Notamacropus eugenii: one gene and its partners. The protein of the gene in region 1 interacts with the protein of each later gene in a pairwise test. Links are inferred from orthologs where the notes say so. Each region holds a gene or a part of one and is shown in the gene's direction. Other genes may lie near its edges.

The links.
Region 2: the proteins of CCDC184 (region 1) and GPANK1 interact in binary tests that used the Homo sapiens proteins (3 or more experiments, as listed by UniProt). The two-hybrid records come from large-scale screens. The link is inferred for Notamacropus eugenii from reciprocal best matches to the Homo sapiens genes CCDC184 and GPANK1.
Region 3: the proteins of CCDC184 (region 1) and PBLD interact in binary tests that used the Homo sapiens proteins (3 or more experiments, as listed by UniProt). The two-hybrid records come from large-scale screens. The link is inferred for Notamacropus eugenii from reciprocal best matches to the Homo sapiens genes CCDC184 and PBLD.

Annotation. Positions count from the first base shown.
Region 1 is NC_092874.1:220,041,101-220,047,858, forward strand, and holds CCDC184 (coiled-coil domain-containing protein 184), read left to right. Parts: upstream 1-4,066; 5' UTR 4,067-4,464; coding exon 4,465-5,031; 3' UTR 5,032-6,241; downstream 6,242-6,758.
Region 2 is NC_092873.1:85,320,782-85,328,440, reverse strand, and holds GPANK1 (G patch domain and ankyrin repeat-containing protein 1), read left to right. Parts: upstream 1-4,655; coding exon 4,656-5,263; intron 5,264-6,528; coding exon 6,529-6,973; 3' UTR 6,974-7,211; downstream 7,212-7,659. Other genes in the region: CSNK2B (casein kinase II subunit beta), read right to left, coding at 250-332, 3,919-4,006.
Region 3 is NC_092872.1:260,695,631-260,703,112, forward strand, and holds the start of PBLD (phenazine biosynthesis-like domain-containing protein), read left to right. Parts: upstream 1-4,478; 5' UTR 4,479-5,097; exon of another isoform or gene 5,098-5,233; 5' UTR 5,234-5,262; coding exon 5,263-5,346; intron 5,347-7,482.

The DNA of each region.
Region 1 (6,758 bases):
GATGCCTTTCAACAGAGGGCTTTATATTTGATCCCTCAGGTGACAAGGAGCCACTGGAGTTTAATGAGTGGTGGGGTAAACATTATTAGACTTGCATTTTAGGAAGTTCACTTTGACTGATGCACAGAGGATGGATTGTAGTGGGGAGAGACTTGAGGCAGACAGATCAACCAGCAGGCTCTTGCAATAGTTTAGGTGTGAGATGCTGAGGGCCTCTATCAGGGTGATGGCAGTGTCAAAGGAGAAGAGGCATATGAGAGATGTTACCAAGGTAAGGAGCTTATGAATCTTTTGGCAGGGCATGGGTGGCAGCAGGAAAGTTTATGCTTTGGAGATAACCACTGATAGAAGTCCAACACCTAGCCCAGCTGGCCAAAAGACATGGACCTAGAAAGATACCATGAATACCCAAGTCAAAGATGAAATGCTGATTCAGTATTCCTATGAAATGCTTCATCTTTTGATGTCTTAGGTAGTAAACTTCTGGTAGAGCATAATTCTAGTTATTATTTATCCTGCATTTCCAAAGAGGACCAATGATATTTCAGGATGATGTCTTGACTCCTGCATGTATTGGATTTAAGTGAGGCAGAGTTGTATAAAGATGTCAGCTTCACTCTCTCTCCCAGTTAGGGATGCCCAGTGACAAGACAAAAGTCAGGAAGATTGGCGATGGCCCAGATGCAGTGGATGACTTTGGCATCTTTAACATCTGACCAAACTCTTAAGTGCTCCACAGCTCCTGCTTCAGCCACCTTCATGGTCATTGGAACAAATTGTTGGCATTTGCCCATTCATTCAGGGGAATTCTTCAGGTGCTTGGGGTAGACACTCTCCTAACTCACTGCTGGATTTGAGGCTCCTCAACCTGGTTTAGCCCATCTGCCATGCTTTACTTGGGTGTGACAGATATGCATACTACAGATTCTTGGAGCCACAGGTGTAGTTGAGTATCAGGTGGACACCAAAAGTGAATGAGAAGCCCTGCAAAGGACTTGGCAAGCTCTCATGCCAGAGCTGCTAGTCCTTCTTGAACACCCATACACACCATAATGGTAGTTACATAATGGTAGTAATAAGTTACTGTTCCTTGTTTAAGACTTCATCATTGCTATCATTAATTCATTGTTGATGGAGCTGTGAGCTGATCCAACCATTATGGAGAACTATTTGGAACTATGCCCAAAAGGCTATAAAAATGAGCATACTCTTTGACCCAGCAATGCCATCACTAGGTCTGTATCCCAAAGAGATCATAAAAATGGGAAAAGGACTCACATGTACAAAAATATTTACAGCAGCTCTTTCCAAGAACTGGAAACTGAGGGAATGCTCGTCAATTGAGGAGTGGCTGAACAAGTTGTGGTATATGAATATAATGGAATACTATTGTGCTGTAAGAAATGAGGAATAGGCAGACTTCAGAAATATATGGAAAGGCATATGAACTGATGCTGAGTGAAGTGAGCAGAACCAGGAGAACAGTAACAGCCACATTGTGTGATAATTGACTTGGATAGACTTAGCTCTTCTCAGTAATGTAAGGACCTAAAACATTTCCAAAGGACTCATGATGGAAAATGCCATCCACATCCAGAGAAAGAACTATGGAGTCAGAATGCAGAGCAAAGCAGACTATTTTCTTTTTTGTATTGTTTTTTCTTTCTCATGGTTTCTTCCTTTCATTATGATTCTTCTGTGCAACATGACTAATGTGAAAATGTGTTTAATAGCAATGTATATGTAGAGCCTATATTCAATTGCATGCCCTCTTGGGAAGGTAAGGGGAGAAAATTTAAAACTTATGGAAGTGAATGTTGAAAATTAAAAATAAATTAACTTTTTAAAAAAGACTTTATCATGGCTATGTTAAGGTGGAGTAAAGCTCCTTTTGTTAACTGTTCAATGACTTAGGAGTGCCTTATTTCTTCCCACTATCAAACCTGAACAGGGAGCTGATGTCAAATCCATCCCTAACATCTACCAACATTTTTCATTTTCTTCTTTTGTCAAATTTGCCAACCTGATGACTGTGAGGAAGAACTGCTCTACAGCTTTTCAATGGCCCTCTTAAACTGAGGTACCAAGAACTGAACACAATACTCTGGTTGACTTCTGACAGGAAAAGACTGCAGTGCTCTTGAAAGCTGTGCCCCTCTTCATGCAGTCCAAGACCACATTAGCTCCTTTTTGCTACATCACTTTACTGATTTTTATTGAGCTTCAGTCCACTAAAACTCCCTTATGCTTCAACAAACTACTATCCAATTGTGCCTCCACTATTTTATGCTCGTGAAGTTGATTTTTTTGTGCACAAGTATAAATAGTTACATTGTATCCCCACTGAATTTCATCGTGTTAGATTTAGCTCAGTGTTCTAGCCTGTCAAAATAGTTTTAGATCCTGACTTCTGATTCAGTGTGTTCGTAATCACTCCCAGCTTTATGTCATAAGCAAACAGCACAGAGCCACAACAGATTCCTGTACTTTTCCAGTGTAGACCTCCAGCTACACTGACTTTGAACCATTAGTGACAAATTAATGGAATTGAATTCTTGAGTTAACAGGTTTTGTGACCTTGAGTAAGACCTTGGTGGTATAATAGGCAATCAGTCTAACACAGAAGAGTAAAATACCAAACGTAGAATATCATTTTAGTCCTGGGAGCCACATTTTTAAAAGGAGATTGACTAACTGCCATCAGGGAGGGTAAGCACATATTCTGGAAATTTTAAGGAGCAATGAAAATATGAAATATTACCGTCATGACTATTATTCAGTAGTGAACTAAAGAGAGCAGAGATTTAAGGAACAGGTAATTCTCAGTAAGGAAATGGGACAGGAAATTTTCCTTGGTATGCTGGTCTTTCCTTTAGGATATTAAAAAACCTAGCTATGTTCAGTCACATAACCTATTGCTCCCAGTGACCTGATCTAGGGTTGTGTATCATTCTTATTGAAGAAGTAAGTGATGATATAGATGACTAGGTTCATTTAACAAATGAAGGGCTGTTCCTATCCATGGGGTTGCTAAGAAGTATAGGTTATTTTATTTCTAGCTACATCTCTGCTTCCTTTCTTTCCAAAGGACTGGAAGAGACAAGGAAAGAACATTTATGAAAGGCCTAATAAGGGCAAAATACTTTTCTAGGTTTTTTGGAAAGATTGGATTATACGTTCCTAACCATTCTCAGTTTCTGTGCTTACTGCCAGTGGTCTGCACAGCAGCACCAGACGAACAGCAATCTCTCCCTTGCTTTTGGAAGGGGTGTCCCTATCCACAGGGTACTTTGGGAGCTTCAGAAGTCCCCAGGGACTGGAAGAGAGGAGAGTGGAGCATGAGCCCCAGCTCCAGTTAGCCTGAGAAAGAAATCTAGCCGGGGGTGATTCCCAAGGGAAACGTTTGTGTATTTTCCCAGGGTAATTCTCAAGGGGTGCCATTAATGCGTGTGTGTATTTTCAGAAGTTGCAGGGAACCCAGGGAATCCTCTCTCTCTCTCTCTCTCTCTCTCTCTCTCTCTCTCTCTCTCTCTCTCTCTCTCTCTCTCTCTCTCTCTCTCTCTCTCTCTCCCGTCTCTCTGTTTCTGTCTCTCTGTCTGTCTGTCTCTCCCTCTCCCTCTCTCTGTATCTCTCTGTTTCTGTCTCTCTTTCTCTCTGTCTGTCTCTCTCTCCTCTCTCTGTCTCTGTCTCTCCGTCTCTCTGTCTCTGTCTCTCTCTGTGTCTGTCTCTGTCTCTGTCTCTCTCCATCATTCTCAAGGGGCACCACTGCTCTTTGGCTGTGCAGTTTTAAGCTGCAAACTGCAGTCTCACTGTCCTCCGATGAACAAGAATCCTGCCTATTCGCTTTCTTGACCCCCCCCCCCCCCCCCCCCCAGGCCTGAGGGTCAACGACCCCTCCCTCAAGGGCTGAGACTCTGACTGCGGGGGCCGACGGCGGTCCTCCACCATCACCTTGGGTCTGCCTCCCTCCCCCCAGCCCCTCCACGCCTATCTTTCCCCCCTCCTCTCTCTGGTCCTCCTTTCCTAGTTGCCATGGAGACTCACGTCATCTACGTGCCGTGCGTCGCCTTGGAAACGGAGGAGCATCCGAGGCGCGGCCGGGAGACCCGCCCCTCTCCGCCTCTCTCCCGCGGCCGCTGCCAGTTAATGGCGGCGTAGAGGTAGCCCTCGGACCCAGAGCCGGACCGGGCCTCGGCTCCCGCCCCGGAGCTGCCGGGCGCGTTCCTGAGAGGAGGCCAGGAGCGTGGGCTTCGCGTTCGCGGCTGCCGGCGCTAGGCCGGTGAATCTCCCAGGGTTGCCGGGGGCCAAGTCCGAGGGCCCCCGTCCCAGGTACTCGCTCGCTCCCCGCTCGCCCCTCGCCTCCCGGGACCCTCCGCCCGTGGGCCCCCTGCTCCCCTCGCTGCCCCCAGCCCGGGGGGGCCGGGTCGGACCTGCGGCCGCCGCAGCCGCCGCTTCCGAGAGTCAATGGAGGACGGACCGCTGGAGATCCTGACCAAGGACGGTGACCTCCCGGGCCCCCTGGAGGTGTCCTCGGTGCCCGCTGTGGGGGACGTGATCTCGGGCGAGTACAACGGCGGCATGAAGGACCTGATGGAGCACCTGAAGGCCCAGCTGCAGGCCCTGTTTGAGGACGTGCGGGCCATGCGGGGGGCCCTGGACGAGCAGGCCTCGCACATCCAGGTGCTTTCCGACGACGTGTGCGCCAACCAGCGGGCCATCGTCTCCATGTGCCAGATCATGACCACCGCGCCCCGCCAGGGCCTGGGCGCGGCCGGCGGCCCGGAGGGAAGCGAGCGGGGCTCGCCGGCAGCTCCCAACACCCCCCCTCCCGAGGAGTGGGGCCGCGGCTCGCAGGATGGCGAGGAGGAAGGGAAGGAGGTTCCCGGGCCGGCCACACCCACTAGCCACTGTGAGAGCCCGGAGAAGCCCTGTGCTCGCCTGCTGGAGGGGGACGGGCCGCTCGGGGATGCCCACGACCTGCCTGACGTAGCCCTGCTGCATCTGGAGATGGAGGGGGAGAACTCAATGTAAGGAGGCTCCAGCGGGGGGCAGTACCTCCGAGGCACGGTTCGGGGTTTTTGGTGCATGAGGATGAGGGAACTGGACAACTCGGTGCAGCATGCTTCACTTGGGTGTCTGCTATGGGATGCTGGGCAGAGACTCCTCTAAAGAGGAACTTGTAATGAATGGGATCATCCTGGATTCTTTCTGCCTAACAGACTGACAAAGAGGCTAACAGGGAGGAAACCATGGGGCATCTCACCTCTGGACACCCACCCATCCTAACCCTCCCCTTGCCCCTTGCCAACACAAGAGCCCCTGAATTGTGTAAATAAAATTCTTTTTATATTCTGAAGATGTACTCCTTAGGACTGAGGTAAATTAAATCCCTAGAGATGTATATAGAGATTAAGGAACTGAGGCTTTTGTTTTGGCCGCAAGAAACACCCGTCTGCTGAGACCCATTGACACTCAGTGCTGCTGTCCAAGCCCCTTCCCCCAGGATAGAGATCTCTACACCTTCTTGTTGGTTCAGGAAGCTTGAGGAATGACTGCATGCAGCCCAGAGAGTGTGAATGAAGGGGTTCCAGAGGCATCTGGGCTAAAAGGCAAAGGCTCTCAATGTGCATGAAGATTTGTTAGCTCAACTATTAGGATATTGCATGCCGAGAAGATCCTGTTTTGTTATGACTTCATCTGGGATAGCATATCATTGGGCTTTTAGGAACATTTACCCCCAGAGCCCGGGCAGAGACTTGGGAACCTGGAGACCACAGGGATGCTCAGCAACAACAGTCTTGGGGTGCTCCTGAGGTACTCTTGGGTACCACAGCCAAGATCTCTCCTGGCCAGACTTGCTTACCTCCAGTTCCTTTCCTTGCTAAAATTTCCCCTCTTGTAGCCAGCCACTCTGTGTTTGCCTCCATGATGTCCTGTGTTGTGTTATATGTGTGTATTGTGTTGTAGTGTGTGAGCCCCAAAGGGCAGGGTTTGTGGCTCACGTATCTGGTTCAGAGGGCCTCAGACCCCTTGTTGAGCCCCAGACTATCCTGACGCTTCCCCCCAACCTCTTCAGGGCATGGAGCATGTGGTTGTCCTGGGGTTCTGTAAATGATGTGCTGCTTTCCCTGCCCTTACAAGTACTGAATCTGTGTGACCTATCCCCTGCTCCTGTGTACTCTTTTTTCTTAGTGCTTTCCTTGATGTTGACCTTAATAATAAAGAGGCGTCATCTCCCTTCCTTGCTGACTGGTCCTGGGGGCAGGTCTGACTCTCCATTATACTCTGTATGAGGCAGGGCCCAGAGCAGAGAGCCACGTAGACTCAGGGGAAGTGTGTGTAGTGAAAAAAAGCTCCAGAAAACCTGAATTTGAATCCTGGCTTTGCCTTTTACAACTCAACTTTGAGCAAGTCACTTCGCTAGGATTTAGCTTTCTAACAGTAAAAATAGCTAACATTTGGGGTTGAACTAGATAACAGGGCTAATATTTAAATCACTGCTTTTAAAACAGTGCTTTAGACACAACTTTGCAGTGATTGCAAAGCACCTGCCATATCTTGTGTCACTTGATTACTAGATAATCCATTCCAGACTTTAGCCTGTAATGCTGATTCACCACCCTTTATCCTCCCTGATCAAGGCCGTGACCTGCATGCACACGTCAATATTGGGCCTGAGTTAGTGGCTAGTTCTGCCTATCTTCTCTATGCTTGGTTTGGAACTAAAGTTGAAGCAAGAATTCAGCTGAGATGTGGAA
Region 2 (7,659 bases), on another chromosome or scaffold:
TGAATTCAGTGTCTCCCTTAAATAGTGGGAGGGCAGGACATCGGGTTCCTGAAAAAAGGGGAAGCTTCAGGGGCACAATGCCATGGTATACGATGACAGTGAGTGAAGGGCAGTACCAAGGCCTGGAGTGGCTAGCACAGAGGGACTGCCAGAAGAGTAAATGAGAGGAACGGACACATGGAAGACATTGTGTCTGAGGGTCATTAGTAAATGGGAACCTGGGGAGCCCTTAATGACTAGAGATCTTACCTCACAGAAGAATTCATTGCCTCGAAGCCCACAGAACCATGAGATCCATGATACTTCCTCTGAGCTACTCATCTTTACGTCAGCTGAGGGAAAAGAGGTTAGCCTGGAGGGCGAAAGGCCAGCCTCTCTCCAGGGCTCTCCATCCCTTTGACATTCTCTGCCTTCCCCGGGCCCCCTTCCGCAGGGGGCTCACCATTCCCCTCTCCAGGCTCACAGTTATGGGGAGCCTTGCTCCACATCCAGGTGAGAACTCCTCTGCAGCCTTTCCCCCGCCCCGCGCCCCCAAATCTCATATTCTTAGCTGAGCCTTTTCTTCCCGAGGCTCAGAAAACCTCTGTCCCTTCCCTGTCCCCTTCCCCCCGTGTGAGTAGAGGGGGGCGATCCAGGCCTGGATCAGGCTCCCTCCTCACACCCCCTTACCGACCCCCTCGGCTGCTCAGAGGTCCCTCTCCTCCCCCCGGGAGGCCGGGCCCCGGCCAACTTCCGCAGGCCCGGTTCTCTGGGCTGCTCCCTCCGAGGGCCGCCCCGGGCCGCTCAGCCCCTTTCCCCGAGACTCCGGAGCTTGGGGCTTCTCTGAGGAGGACCCTCAGCGTCTCCGCGCACCCTGGGTCCGGGACCACCTTGGCCTCCCCTGCCCTTCCTTAGGACCTCTCCCTCCCCAAGGCCAGGCGTCCTCAGGTCCCGCCCCCAACGTGCGGAAGGGCGCCCTACGACTCACCTACCGGGCCGGGGCTGGGGAGGGAGAGGGAGAAGTTGCTCCCAGGGGCGGCGGCGGCAGCAGCAAAGCCGCGCAGCGAAGGCCGCGGACCCGACCGCGGCAGGCGAAGCGGTGGGGGGGTAGGGGGGAGGGGAAGGGGGAAGAGAAACGGGAGGGCGGGAAAGTACACAGAGCGCAGGCGCAGGAGGTCAGGCTCCCCCCGTGGAAGACGGGATATGGAGTCCCTGAACAGTAGTAAGGCTGGGCTAATAATACGACTTCCGGAAGACACCCTTGCCCCTGTCCTCTCAGTGAAATAGGGCAGGGGGCGGGGCCACAAAGGAGGAAGGACTGGAGGCTCTCCTCTAAGATGCTGGAAACAGGAGCCCGAGATCGAGGTTAGCGCTGGTGAACATGGGAAATGTAGTCCTCGTGCCCACAGAGAGCAACACCCAGACTAGGTAAGGTTTGGAGAGTCTTTCTCCTACACATCAGCGAGCCGAACAAGATTGGGATTAAATTGGAATTGGACCGTCTTTCTCCTATACGTCTCACAGGTAAGGTATCTACAATAACGGTCTAGCTCTTCAGTTTATACTAAATGTACTGCATACTTCCCCAGTCATCTATCTGTCATCCCTCACCCTTATTTCCAGTCATCTCCCCTTTTCTCACAATCCTCATCCCCCTAACTAGCCTTCATCATCCCATTCTCCTCAATCATTTTTCATCATCCAGTACTTTAACAAACTTTTATATAAACGCCTGTTATATATTCAAAGCACTGATGGGTGTGGGATTACAAAAGACACTATGAAAAACACTACTGGAGAATACATGTATTCCAGTATTCCAAGTTGATCTGTGCAATCTCATTGATGTGGGTATTTTTCGACCCCGCAATGAGGTACATATACATAAATACAAGATAATTTGAGAGAAAACTGAAATCTAGGAGGATTAGGAAAGGCTTCCTGCAGGAGTTGGCATCTGAGTTGAACCTTCAAAGAATTCTAAGATATGAAAGTGATGGAGTACATTCCAGAGATGAGACACATTTTTCCTGTACATTTTCCTAAGTGAGGTTGGAAAGTCTTTCCCCTACATATCTCACAGGTAGAGTATGTATCATAATGCTTCTCAGTTTATTCTTAATCTTTAAAGGCACAGCACATCACAGAAGCAGGAGATGGAATGCCAAATTCAGAGAAAAGTAAATAGGTCAGTTTGCCTATAACACAAGAGTGGATGAAGGAGAGTAGTGTGAAATAAATCTGGGGAACTAAACTGGAGCTAGATTGTGACTTTAAAAGCTAAATTGAAGAATTTGTCTTTTATCTTAGAGGCAAAAGTAAGCCACAGAACTTTCTTGATTAGGGGAGTGCCTTGTTCAGATCTGTGTTTTAGCAAGATTTTTTTGCTTCTATGTTAAAGATAGATTGGAAAGGGAACACATTGGAAACAGAAAGAGCAACTTGGAGGCTATTACAATAGTCCTGGCTAGGCATGATGAGTGCTGATTGCATGGTGGGAAATGAGTTCTATTTTGGATACGCTGAGTTGGAGATCCAGGTGGAAATATCCAGCAGCCAGTCAATAGACTTTATTCATCAGTGTTTTTGTCTTTGTATCCAAATGCCTAGTACAGTGCCTGGTACACTGTAGATGCTTAACAAGTGTTTGTGGAACTAACTGATCTGGAACTTGAAATCTGGGAGAGAGATTAGGGCTAGATATGTAGATTTGAGAGATATCTGTATACAGATGATAATTGAATCTTTGGGAACTGATATAAAGAAATACTGTAAAGAAAGAAAAGAAGGGGACCCAAGACAGAGCCTCAGGGGGAACACCCATGCTTAGTGGTTTGAATACCTATGATGTTCCAGCAAGGGAGACTGAGGAATGGTCCTTCAGGCTTGAAAACCAGGAGAGTGTAGTGTGATAAAAGCTAAGTTGAGAGCAAGTATTTAGGAAGAGGGGGTGATGAACAGTTTCAAAAACTGAAAAGATGAGGAATGAGAAAAGGCCATTTGATTTATAATTTAAAGAAAATTAATAATTTATAATGAAATTATTAATAACCTTGGAGAAACCCGTTTTGGTTGTGGTAGTGGGAGAGGTATGGAGTTGGGCTGTGAAAAGGATACATGTAGGATGATAGTTTGAGGGTGTGCTAGTGAGGGTTTAGGCAAGGATGGGGAAGGCTTGAGCATGTTTGTAGATAAGAGGGAAGGAGTCAGTGGATAAGAGGAGAGAGGGGCAAGCTCTGGGAAGAGATAAGATGAAGGGGTACAAGTTGAGAGAGGACTGACAAGGAGAAGGGGTGCCTTCTTATAAGAAGAAAATGGGGGATAATTGAGAGGGTTGGTTTATAGAATAGGTAAGAACAGTTCATGAAGGATAGCTTCTATTTTCTCAGTAAAGTATGAAGGCGTTCCTTCATCCCATCTTCCTTCATCATAGTTCATCTTCCTCTCTCCCTTTATCCAACCTTCATTACCCCTATCTTTTATTTCTTCCTCCAAGTTGCCAATTAACCCTTACCATCTATCTCTATTCCCACCTCTCCACAAATCACCCCATACCAAGTTAGCCCCTGCGCCAGCTCTACCAAACAGGTCCTCATGTCCACCCTCCTCCAGAGCACTGGATGACCAGGTTTCTTTTTTGCCCCTTCTCTCCAGAGAATGGAGGTGGGGTGGTACTAGGGAGTGAAAGGGTTTAACCCCAGCCTCCGGGGTAAAGGGCTTGTCATGGGAGGGGGCCGCTAACCTGAGGTGGCACCAGCCATCCTGTTAGTTGTCCCCTTGCCCTTCTCCATCTCCTCCTCCACTCCTAGGGGCTAGGCTGGCCTGCAGCAGCACAGGGCTCTTTGTCTAGCCCTCAAATGCTGGTTGCACTAAGAGTGAGAGGCAGCCTGGCCCTAATTCGCGTTTAGACTTGGCTGCACCCTGCAGGCCTGTGCCCACCTTCCTTGGGCAGCTGACTCCACCGAAACCCCGTCTCTGGCCCCAGGAAATGGGCTTCGGGGGCCACTCTGAGAGGAACGAAGCACATTGTGGGGCGTTATGCAAACGAAGAACCCTAACGGCCGGTGCCCCTCCCTTCCCCCACGGGGGCCTTCGCGCCTCTGAGCACGCGCCTGCCTCGAGCTACCGAGCAATTCGAATCAAACCGGCGGCTAAGGAGCGGAGAAAAGGAGCAAAATAAACAGAACGCGGGCGCAGAATCCCGTGTGTGTGTATGTGTCTGTGTGTCTATCTGCCTCTTTTTAACCACCTCCGCATCGCTCCGGCCTCCAGTCCTCCATCTCGCCAGGTTATTTTACGGGTGCTGTCAAGGCGGCACGCTTCAAGTGTTCCTTTGGTTCCAGACTGAGACTGTAGTTTGACGCAGGCGCACTCTCTTCTCAGTGATCTACTTCCGGAGTGTTTTCTGCGCCGGCGCCGTGTCTCAGCCTGGCGCTGGTTGCTACTGGGACTTGAAGTCGAGTACCGAGCGTAGGGAGTTAGAGGTGGGATCCAGAGAGGAGGCCTGTAATCATTGAACTTACTTCCTGGTTGCCGGTCGCTTACAAGTCTCGGTGGGGGGCTTTGCCGCCCTTTACTGGGTTAGCTTTAGGATGACCCACTTGGCGTTCGCTCCACGCTGGCCCGGTAACTGCTCCTGAGGGCGGCTGGCTTGATGTTCCCCCACCCCAGCAGTCATGACCCGCCCCGCCCTTATCGCCTTCACCCCGGCCCGGGACTCGAGTGACCACTGGAAGGACGGGCGGCAGCAGCCGGAGTCGGAGCTCCCCCTGGACGGTGCAGCCGCCCGGAACTTCTATGAAGCCCTGGTCGGGGTGGAGGGAGACGCCCTCAGAGGGCCCCCGGCACCCTCGCGGGCGCCCCCCAAAGGCAGAAAACGGACGCAGAAAACTAGGCTGGAGAGGGCCGGGGCCGCGGCGGGAGCGGCTGCGGCCCGCGCCGAGAGCGATGGGACCCGGGAGCGACAGACCGCGCGGCTCCTGCGGGCTGCGCAGGCCGGGGACGTGCGGCAGCTGCGCGCCCTGTTGGAGCCCCGAGGCCCGGGGGCCCGCGGGGCCCATGTCAACGTCAACGCCCGGGACGCTTTCTGGTGGACCCCGCTGATGTGTGCAGCCCGGGCGGGCCAGGGACCGGCAGTGCGCTACCTCCTGGCGCGAGGAGCCGCCTGGGTGGGCGTCTGTGAGCCCGGGGGGCGCGATGCTGCCCAGCTGGCCGAAGAGGCCGGCTTCCCCGAGGTGGCCCGGATGGTCCGAGAGAGCGGTGGAGAGGAGAGGCCCCAAAGCCGGTGAGTGGCAGCCCCCTGCCACCGTCCCAGTCTAGCAGCTGACGGGGAAGGGTCCGAGTCACCAAGAAAGTTCGGTGACCTTCCCTGCGAGCCTGGAGCTTACTGGCTAAGGGCGAAAGCCATGCAAACAGCTTCATGCTGGAATTAATAAGAAAGAGATAAGGCGCTAGCATTAAGGGAGGTGGATAAAAGCCTGTAGAAAGTGAGGTTTTATCTGGGACTTGAAGCCATGAAGTGGAGAGGAGGAGGGAGAGCATTCCAGGCCTGGGGCACGGCCAGAAAGAAAGCCCATGGTCTGGAAGATTGTCTTGTGAGAGGAAGGCAAGGTGGGCATTATCACTGGATCTCGGTGTGGGGGTGAGTGCGGTGTAGGAAACCTAGAAAGGGACTCGAGGGCTCCCTTGTCCAAGGACTTTATTTACCAAATAGGATTTTAAGTTTGGAGGTGACAGCCCATGGGTCAGATCTGAGGATGCTCCTCAGCCTCTTCCCCCATCTACTGCTAACCTAGGTTCTTGGGAGGATCAGATGAGGTAATAGCTGTAAAGGATTTAGAGCACAGTGCCAGGCACATGGTCAACTTTGCAAATGTTAGCTATCGTCATCTTCACTATTACACTGTCCTACCCCACCCCATTAAGGAGTCGGTGGCCAATAATACCTAGCCTCCTTTCCACCTGGGGATCCTTGAGATTGTTCTCTATGGTAGCAAGGCCCTGGTTTCTAAGGACTGGTGAGAAAGTATACCCGAGGAGTATGGATTAATAAGGTGTGGTCACCCTTTTCAACTCCAGAGCTGAGCCAACCTTGAGCCTCCTGTCCAGTAAAGTAATACAGTCTTTGAAGACTTATTCAATGCCAGTAAAATCTAAGGCGCTGTGTATGCTGGAAGTTGAACATGCAAAACTACACAGATTCCCTGGAAGAGCTTACAGCCTACCAGGGACTGATACGATGCTCTGTCTTACTACCTCTGACTGGGGGAAGTCTGTCTGTCTGGGCCTCAGTTCCTCATTTGTTAACTAGAGAGTGGGGTTGGACTAGATAACTTCTAAATCTCCTTCCAACTTTAAGTTTATTGTAGTTCTTGCATAAGTGTTTTACTAGGTTGAGTAAAAGGCACAAAAGAGCTCCAGAGTGCTTTAGGAAAATTAGAGGAAGAAACATGAGCAGTTGTGTATCAGGCTTCATAGAAGAGGAAGCAACTGAACTGGACCTTGAAAAGACGCCCACCTTCACTCTTTTCTACCTTTTTTTTTTTCCAGGCCCTGCTCTCCATTGCCAAAATACTGTGAGACTTGTAGTTCCCATTACCGAGACACTAATCACAACAGCTCTACTGCTCACCTCCTATCCCTGTCCCATGGGCCTCAGCCACCCCCCTTGCCTCCAGGAGTCCCTGCCTCTAGCCCTGGCTTTCGATTGTTAGTGAAGGGGGGTTGGGAGCCTGGATTGGGACTGGGACCCCGGGGAGAGGGGCGCACTGCTCCCATTCCTACAATCCTCAAGAGAGACCAGGAAGGTTTGGGATATAGGCCAACTTCTCAACCCCGAGTCACACATTTTCCTGCTGGGGACCTTCGTGCTGTGGCTGAAAAAAAAAGAGCACCTCGAGCTGCCACTTTGGGCAAGAGAGAAGAGAGACATCGAGAGGAGAGGAGTCGAGCTTGGGAACGGAATCTACGGACTTACATGAACCTTGATCTCTGATCCTGACTATATAAACTATGATCTCTGATCATAGACTCTTTGGAGACCTGTGACTACCTACCCCCAAGGATCTTACTGCTGACATCTGACCCTGAACTTGGAATTTTAGTCCCTTGGGTCTTCCTAGACTTGAAATCTTGGATTTTGTTTAGTTTGATTTTAGCCTTTGCTGGAGGGAGATTGCAAAGGTTGATTCATCCTTGCTTAAAGTTGAGAAATAAACATATCTTTTTTGTTTTGTTTTGTGATGTTTTCCTGCTTTGGAGGGGAGTAGGACAGTTTTGAGAGAGGGTGGAATTTGGAACTGGGATGGGGAAGGGGCAGCAGTAAACTCATACTGAGTTATCTTCCACCGTTTTGGCTATGTGTTGTAGAGTGATAAAATTTAGAGCTAGAAAAGACTTGAGATGATCTCATTCAACCCATTCATTTTCACAGAAGGGGAAAGTGGGACCAGAGAGGCCAATGAACCTTAAGTAATTTATAAACATTTTAAGTGCCTACTGTGTTCTAAGAACTGTACTAAGTAGTTCTTTAATTGTCTACAGGGCAAAATACAAACTCTTTTGGCATTTAAGCCTTTTCCAATCTATCTTGAACCCATCATTCTTTCTAGACTGATTTCACATTACTTCTCACCCCCCTCAGCCAAAGTGAACTGTTTGATACTCCTCATGTGTAACATC
Region 3 (7,482 bases), on another chromosome or scaffold:
TGTTTTCTCATTTGTGAAATTAGTTGCATTAGATGACCTCTAAATTCCAACTCTCATTCTCCGATCCTATAAATTCCAGTAGACATCTGTTGGTATTACTTACTTTTTTCATGTCGATTTCATATCACAGGAAAAATCCACCCATGTTTTGAAAAGGATGGACAATGGTATTCATCAACAGAATAACTTGATTCAAAAGCATAATTTAAATATTGTATATACATGTGATGACAAGCTTCATTGAGCATTGCAGAATGTACCTGAGCAATTTTCAATCCAAGCTAAATATTATTACAGAATTAGCACTGTATCAAGAGTTTATGTTCAGAATGACTGGTCTCTTTGTCTCAAATCCCTCTTCATTCTAGTCTACCTATCACTCAGCTGTCAAACTGAACCTTTTAAAGCACAGCTCTGACCACACCACTTCCCATTCAATCAACTCCAGTAGCTGTTTATCACCTCTAGGTGATAGATGGAAAATCATCTGTTCAGACATTTTCAGAGTGAATGAAATTTCCAACTAAGTGATCAGAAAAAAATTTTAAATTTGCAGGGAGAAATGTTAGAATAAAATTTCAGTAATATTACCATACATTGAGATAAACATTGGAGAAAAAAAGCAGCTGAGTAATTTTTTTCCTGTGTTAAAACATAATTTGACAATATGTTGTGCAGAACTAAAATATTATTTGATTATGGAAAAGTAAAAACTGCTTCTTTCCTTAGTTCTAACTCAGCAGCAGAAATTACAATAAAATGTTATTATGCCTTTAAGGAAAAAAAGGTGCATAGAAAATTTATGGAGTTAGAATTTTACTGAAATTTTCACATCAAATATAATTTTAAAATTGAATTTTATGGAAGTTTCCTTTCAAAGTAAAAATAGAACCTATGCATTTTTGAAGCATGAATGAGAGAGTGGCATTTAGCTATTTTTGCTGCACAGAAAACCTTTTTAAAATGACCATATTCAGGGTTAAGCTCTCCATTGCTGAGGTGCCTAAGGAAGGATTTTTAGAACAGTGCCTTCCACACCTTGAAAAGGAGCTTATTAAAATGGACAGAGGATGGTTAACATGGAAATTATGAAAAGTTAAAATTTTTTCTTTTAACATTTCTATAGTGATATATAGCATATTTCTATAGAAATATAGTATTTAACATTTCTATTCTTATATATACGTAGATATTTTTGACATTTTTTCCTTGAAATTTTTATGAGCCTCCAACATCAATGGTCTTCACTCACTCTAATATAGTACTTAGTTCTCCTATAAGAAACCTAAACCTATAACCTTGTTTCATTACCCTCTAATCATTCAGATCCCTGTTACCTCTCGCTTACACAACAATAACTTCATTAGTCACCCTACCTCAAATATCTTTCCACTTCAATCTTCCATGTGTGAAAAGACTATTCGTAAACTATGGGTCTGACCAACCAAGAAGTTTCCCTGTGCCTCCATTATCAATAGCACAATGGCTTGGCACATCATATGTGCTTAAAAAATGCTTTCCCAAAAATTCATTCTAGGATAAAACACTTATTTGGCCTTCCAAGCTCTTCCCAGCTGGTTCTAGATAACCTTTCCAACATTATTATAGGTGATTCTCCTTCACACATTCCATCCAAACTGACCTCCTCATGTTCTCTCTGCAAAGGCTGTCCCCCTTAAAGGTCCTTTCAAAGTTGGGCTCAAGTACCACCTTCTCCATGAACCCTGTCTTCATCACCTCTAACTGTTAAGTGTCCTTTCCCCCAGAAATTACTCATATACATCTTGCATTTCCCAATGTGTACACATGGTTGTGCCACAATGGAATGTAAAGTCCTTTGAATTGTTCTGTATTCCCCAAATTGGGTGGTGTTCAGCATATGGCAGATCCTCAATGCTTACTGAATAAGAAAACAATGGAAACAATATAATTTTTATTAAGGGCAAGAATAAAAATAAAGTAACAGAACTGAATCACAACCAATGTTCTTTGTAAGTACTGCCATTTCTTTTCCCCTCTCAGAGAAGTTTAAGTACTGAACATCTTCATGGCTTGAACTCAGTTCTATTTAGTAAGGGGCAGCTAGTGGTGCTGGGCCTGAAGTCATGAAGACTCCTCTTCCCGAGTTCAGATCCAGCTTAAACCCTTACTAGCTGTGTGACCTGTCTGCCTCAGTTCCTCATCTGTAAAATGAGCTGGAGAAGGAAATGGCAAACCCCTCCAGTATCTTTACCAAGAAAACCCCAAATGGGGTAGAGTTTGAAACAACTGAACAAAAACAACCTGGTAAGCTTAGGCTATTATTTTTCTACAGCCAAGAATAGGGGAATGGAAACTTCAGCGAAGGCACCTTGAACTCAGGGCAGGGTTCTGCTAGTGGCTACAGCTCTACAGCTGTTAAGCTGTCTCCTTCCCTGGCTCCACTTGACTCCAGATTTAACAGCAGTTTGCTCAACAGGCCCAAACTCTTGCTGCCACTACTCTCTGGTTCCCAGAACCCACCACTGCAGTGGTGGGTTTCTCCCTCATTTCAAATCTTTCTTTTCTCTCAGTCAACCATCACAACATATGAAAGGCCTGCTTTGCACAAAGCAGTGCATTGATTTATGCAAGCTAGGAGGACTTGGAAATTCAGCCAGGAAGTCCCTTCAACTATGGATGGAACAGAAGCTGATCCATACCTAGCTTCTGAAATGGTCAGTCCAGGGTCTGGCACACCAGGCACCATTTAATACTCAGTCCTTAAAGGAGAGAGCGTGCAGAGTCCCGACATTGGGGGCTCCGGAGGTCAGTCAGTCACCTAGTGAAGAGGAGCACCAACTCATAGTGCACAGTGTGTGGGAACATGTCCACTGGCACTGCTTGTCTCAAGACAAAAGGCTCACCCTGGAGATCCTTGTTAGGGTCTGGGGGACAGCACAACTCAAGGAAGTTTCTTTTGGCCTTCCCACTGGGGTAGCAGGAAACAAAAATCAGCGTCTTGATGGCTCTGCAATTCCGAATAGCCTGGACCACCTGGCTGTTCAGTCCAGTCCGGGAAGGGTCCACCATGGCCACAAGCGACTGACCAGTCTCCTGTGATTTTAAAAGCTGCGGCACTATATTCTCGACCTGGTCAGCATGGAATTCCCAGTTGGTGATTCCATTAAATGCTGCGGTCCATCTGGCATCCTCTACCGCCTGCCCCACCAACCCCGTGCTCAGGACCTGAGCTGTGCGCTGGGCCAGGGAGAGGCTGGTGGCCCCAGTTCCTTGGCTAAGGTCAAGGAGAAGAGTATTGGGGTCCACCCCGCTCAGCTCTCCCACCACCCTGTAGAGAACCTCGACAGCAGCCGAATTAATCTGGAAAAAAGCACCGGGAGAGATTCGGAATTTCAGGCCCGGGAGGTCTTCGAAAATGTGAGGCTCTCCAGCCAGGAGCTGGTAGCGGGGCGGCTGCTGGCCGCCCTGGACATTCTCCTGGAAGTAAAGGGAGGTCAAGTCACAAGCGGCCCCGGGGCCGTGGGTGAAAAACTCCTTGACCTGCTCCTGGTGAGGCCGGAGCTGGTCGGGCCGCAGCTGCTGCGGATGGAAGGCGATGATCGCCATGGTGTGGCCGCGGCCGGTGCTCCGGACCGTGAGCTCGTGCCAGTGTCCGCTGCCGTGTGGCTCCAGGTAGGGCTCGAGCGGGCTCTGCTCCAGGAAGGCCTGGTAGCAGCGGGCCACGCGTTGGTGCTTGTCGGGGATGTGCTTCAGGTGCCCGGGCTGCACGCACACCAGCTGCTGCTCCCGCCGAGAGCCCAGCACGTAGCCCACGGTCCGGGGCCGGCCGTCGGGGCCCTGGCGGATGGCGAAGTTGCACTTGTTTCGGTAGCCGTCGATGACCGGGGACGGCCGGAAGGGCTGCAGACGCGAGCAAAGGCTCCCGGCCTCGGCGTCCGGGCTCCCAAGCGAACGCAGGCGAGCCTCGAGGCGCTCCAGGAGGCCGCGCAGAGTCTCCGCCTTCACCCGAAGCTGCTGCTCGTAGTCCAGCCGCCACAGCGGAGTCACCAGGTCCGCGAGCCGCTCAGGCCACGAGCCCGGCTCCGGACCCCAGTCCTCCGGCGCAGGCGCAGGCGCCGCCGGCGCAGCAGCCGCCTTCTCTGGGCACGCGGCGCCCAGCCAGGCCCGCGGGGAGCTCCAGGGAAGCGGCCGGCCGCGCGACAGCAGCGCAGTCCGAGGCAGGCAGGGGCCGAGGTACCTCATGACCCGGGCAGGAAGCCACCCTCGGCCGAGGACTGCACCGGAGCCGGCGGCCCCGGCACTACTGGCTCAAGAGCGCCGGCGTGCCGGGAAGTCACTTCCTCCACGCTGCATCTCTCACCGCAAGCCCGGTCCCCGCCGCTCTCCCCACCAATCAGAGCCTCTCTCTAGTTCTATTCGCCAATCAGAGACCAGCTTCCGACAGCAGCGCCCTCTGGGAATTCTCCAATCTCCGCTAGGGTTTCATGGGAAATGTAGTCTTCTCTCTTGCCCACATGGAGTCCTTGTTGCCATGGGTTCCCCGCCTCTTTCACTTTCTCCCAAAGCAAAAGGCGAAAGGGAGCGGGCCCGAGTAAAGGCAAAGGAAGACTCGTCCCAGCCAGTCTGCCTGTTGTCCACGCAGAGACATATCAGGCAAGCCTCTCGAAACGTTTGTACTGGCTCATTATATTGCACTCAGAGAGCGCAGCCCTTTGCACGTTAATCAATGCTTCATTCCTCCGTTCGTTGTTTACGATTTGCTATGGAAATTCCTCGCTTGGGTCTCAGTTCGGTACTGCGAAGCAAACCTCCCATAGCGACAAGAGCTGCAGGCAAGAAACGGGGGATGTACCGAGGAGCCGCGTCGGAGAAAGTCGGAGCCACGCCCCCCGTCCTCGGCTGAAACCACGTGGAGCTGCGCGCTGCCGAACCTGACCCGCGATCCGGGAGACCTCTCACCCCTCCCCCGCAGCCCCGGGCTCTGCGGCGGTGCCCGCCCCCAAAGCCTCCGCTGCCCCTGGGATTGTCTGCTCCCTCCCTTAAAGGCCGTTCAGACGTGAGACTGTGGGTGTCTGGGAGAAAACTGTCGTGTAGCGCAGGCAGCCTGCCTTAGAGGTGAAAAAGAAAACTGTTCTGGACGGCTAAGTTATGTAAATGTTCTCTGTCCTTCAGTCTCTGGGCCAAGGTCCCTCTCGTGCCACCAGTAAATCGTTAACATTTTGGTTTTATAAACACCCTCCTCACTCCGCAGGTTTGACAGTTTTATAAAGAAGCAGGAAGATGCGGCTCCCTGTTTTTGTAGTAGATGCTTTTACAGGGGAAGCGTTCCGGGGGAACCCTGCCGCTGTTTGTCTCCTAGAAAATGTAAGTTGTTTTGTTTTTCTGTTTTGTTTTTTCTAATAGAACAATTTTCCCAACACTTTCTCTCCTCCCTAGAAAAATACACCTTCCTGGGTGCCTGTCCTGTTCATTATTTTTAGTGTCTGAATGCTTGTTTTGATCCAGTTTTATAAAGAATGCTCAGAGCTAGGCTAGATCCGAGGAAAATGTCCGTAATAGGTAACTAGACGAAAAAGCTGATCAAATTGTTGCATGTAAATATAGTGGAATATTCTTTCAAGTTAATGCTAATAGGATTTTGCTGAGCCAGCCTCTAACCTGAGAATGACAAAACAGCAGACCCGAAACTGGTTCAGTAGTCAGGTCCAAGGTTAATTAGTTTCATAATGAGAAACAAACTTGCAAATGGGGAATTCTCCCGATCCGAATTCTACCTCGCAGAAGTGAAGGCTGAGAGTATATACATAAATCCTGTGGGAAGGTGGGTTACAAACTATCAGTCGTTCTCTGGGGCCAGAGCGGTTTCCGGACCAGCCCACAGATGGAAGACCATACAACAATTCTGGAATCTAGTCTCGGTGGGTGGTGGCTTGGTGGGTCACTGGACCACCTATTCTGTGAGAATAGTCTGTTTGCTGTTTCCCATAGGTGGCATATGGTGGCTTCATAACTGCCATCTCCCCTACCAGACCCCAGTCCCTTCTCCTGCTTCTTGGAATCTGGGCTCCCTTCAAGGATCAGCTCAAAAAATTCTCCTAAAGAAGCCTTTTCTGATTCCTCCAGTTATTTGTAGTATCCTCCCACTAAAAAATATTTATTGCCTTGACTTTTGGTATACCTATTTTTTTCTCCCCTTTGATTTTTATTTTTGTATGTCCAGTACCAACACTATGCTAAGCATTTTATAAAAAGCCTATTGAGGCTGAAACATATACTCTCATTACGTTGTGAGTTTTTTGAAAACAGTAAGGTATGGGCTTTGTTGAGCACAAAGTAGGTACTTAATACATGTTTGTGGAATGAAAGAATGACCTTTGGAAGCAGAAGTGGAGGAAGGTTTTCAGAACATTTAAAAGAATATTATGACTAAAGCTCTGGAGTAAGGCTAATAGGACAGGGAAGAAGGAAGTAGAAATGACAGTTTTAGCCATTAAAATTGTGGTGAAACCTTGAAGACTTGATTAATAAATAGTAGTTATTGTTGTTCAGTCATGTCCAACTCTTCATGATCCTTTGGACCCTATTGTCCATGGGATTTTCTTGGCAAAAATACTAGAGTAGTTTGTAATGTCCTTCTCCAGTGGAGTAAAGCAAACAGAGGTTAAGTGACTTGTTCAGGGTCACTCAGCTAGTAAGTGTCTCAGGCTGGATTTGAAATCAACTCTATCTTGACTCTAGGTCAGTGTTGTATCCACTGAACCACCCAGCTGTCCCCAACAAATATTTACTGAATACCTATTATACACTTCACATTGTGGGGCAGACCAGCAAAGGCTAAGATGTGTAAGGAGTTAATGATCTGACTGGGGAGACTAGATTTAACACAACCATTAGAGAATCATGCAGCACCATCTGTAATTAAGTACTACCTGTTGTGTTTGTCCTGCCCTACCAAAGAAGACTATGACATCAGAGAAATAATGACATGATTTGTACTTGACTTTGGGTTGAGTGAGGGATGGCTGTGCAAGGTGACCAGCCTCACTTCTTCCCTGGAACCATCTGGGTCCAGTGACCATCAGATATTCATCAAAATGACTGGAGATGGACCAGGAGGCAACGGGAGACCTTGGCCCCTGTAGGCCAAGGCCTAATCGATACTCGCTTAAGGTGAGGTAGTGCCCATTCAGTGAATAGGCCTTTTAAGAAGTAGTCAGGGGATGGTCCCTTTAATGAGGCAAGAAAAAAAAATTAAAAAAAAATAACTAAATCAGACTGTGAGGGAAACAGCAACAGTTACTATTGATAATCACTCTTAAGCCAGGAGGGTCCAGAAAACAGCCCTTAAATGGAGCTTGGGCAGGGGCCTAGTGTTGTCCAATCTATGGGCTTCAGAGTGCAATAGGTTTAAGGTTTTGGGAAAGGAAAGGAAAGGAAAGGAGAGGAGAGGAGAAGAGAGGGGAGGGGAAGGGAGGGGAGGAAAGGAAAGGGGAGAGGAGC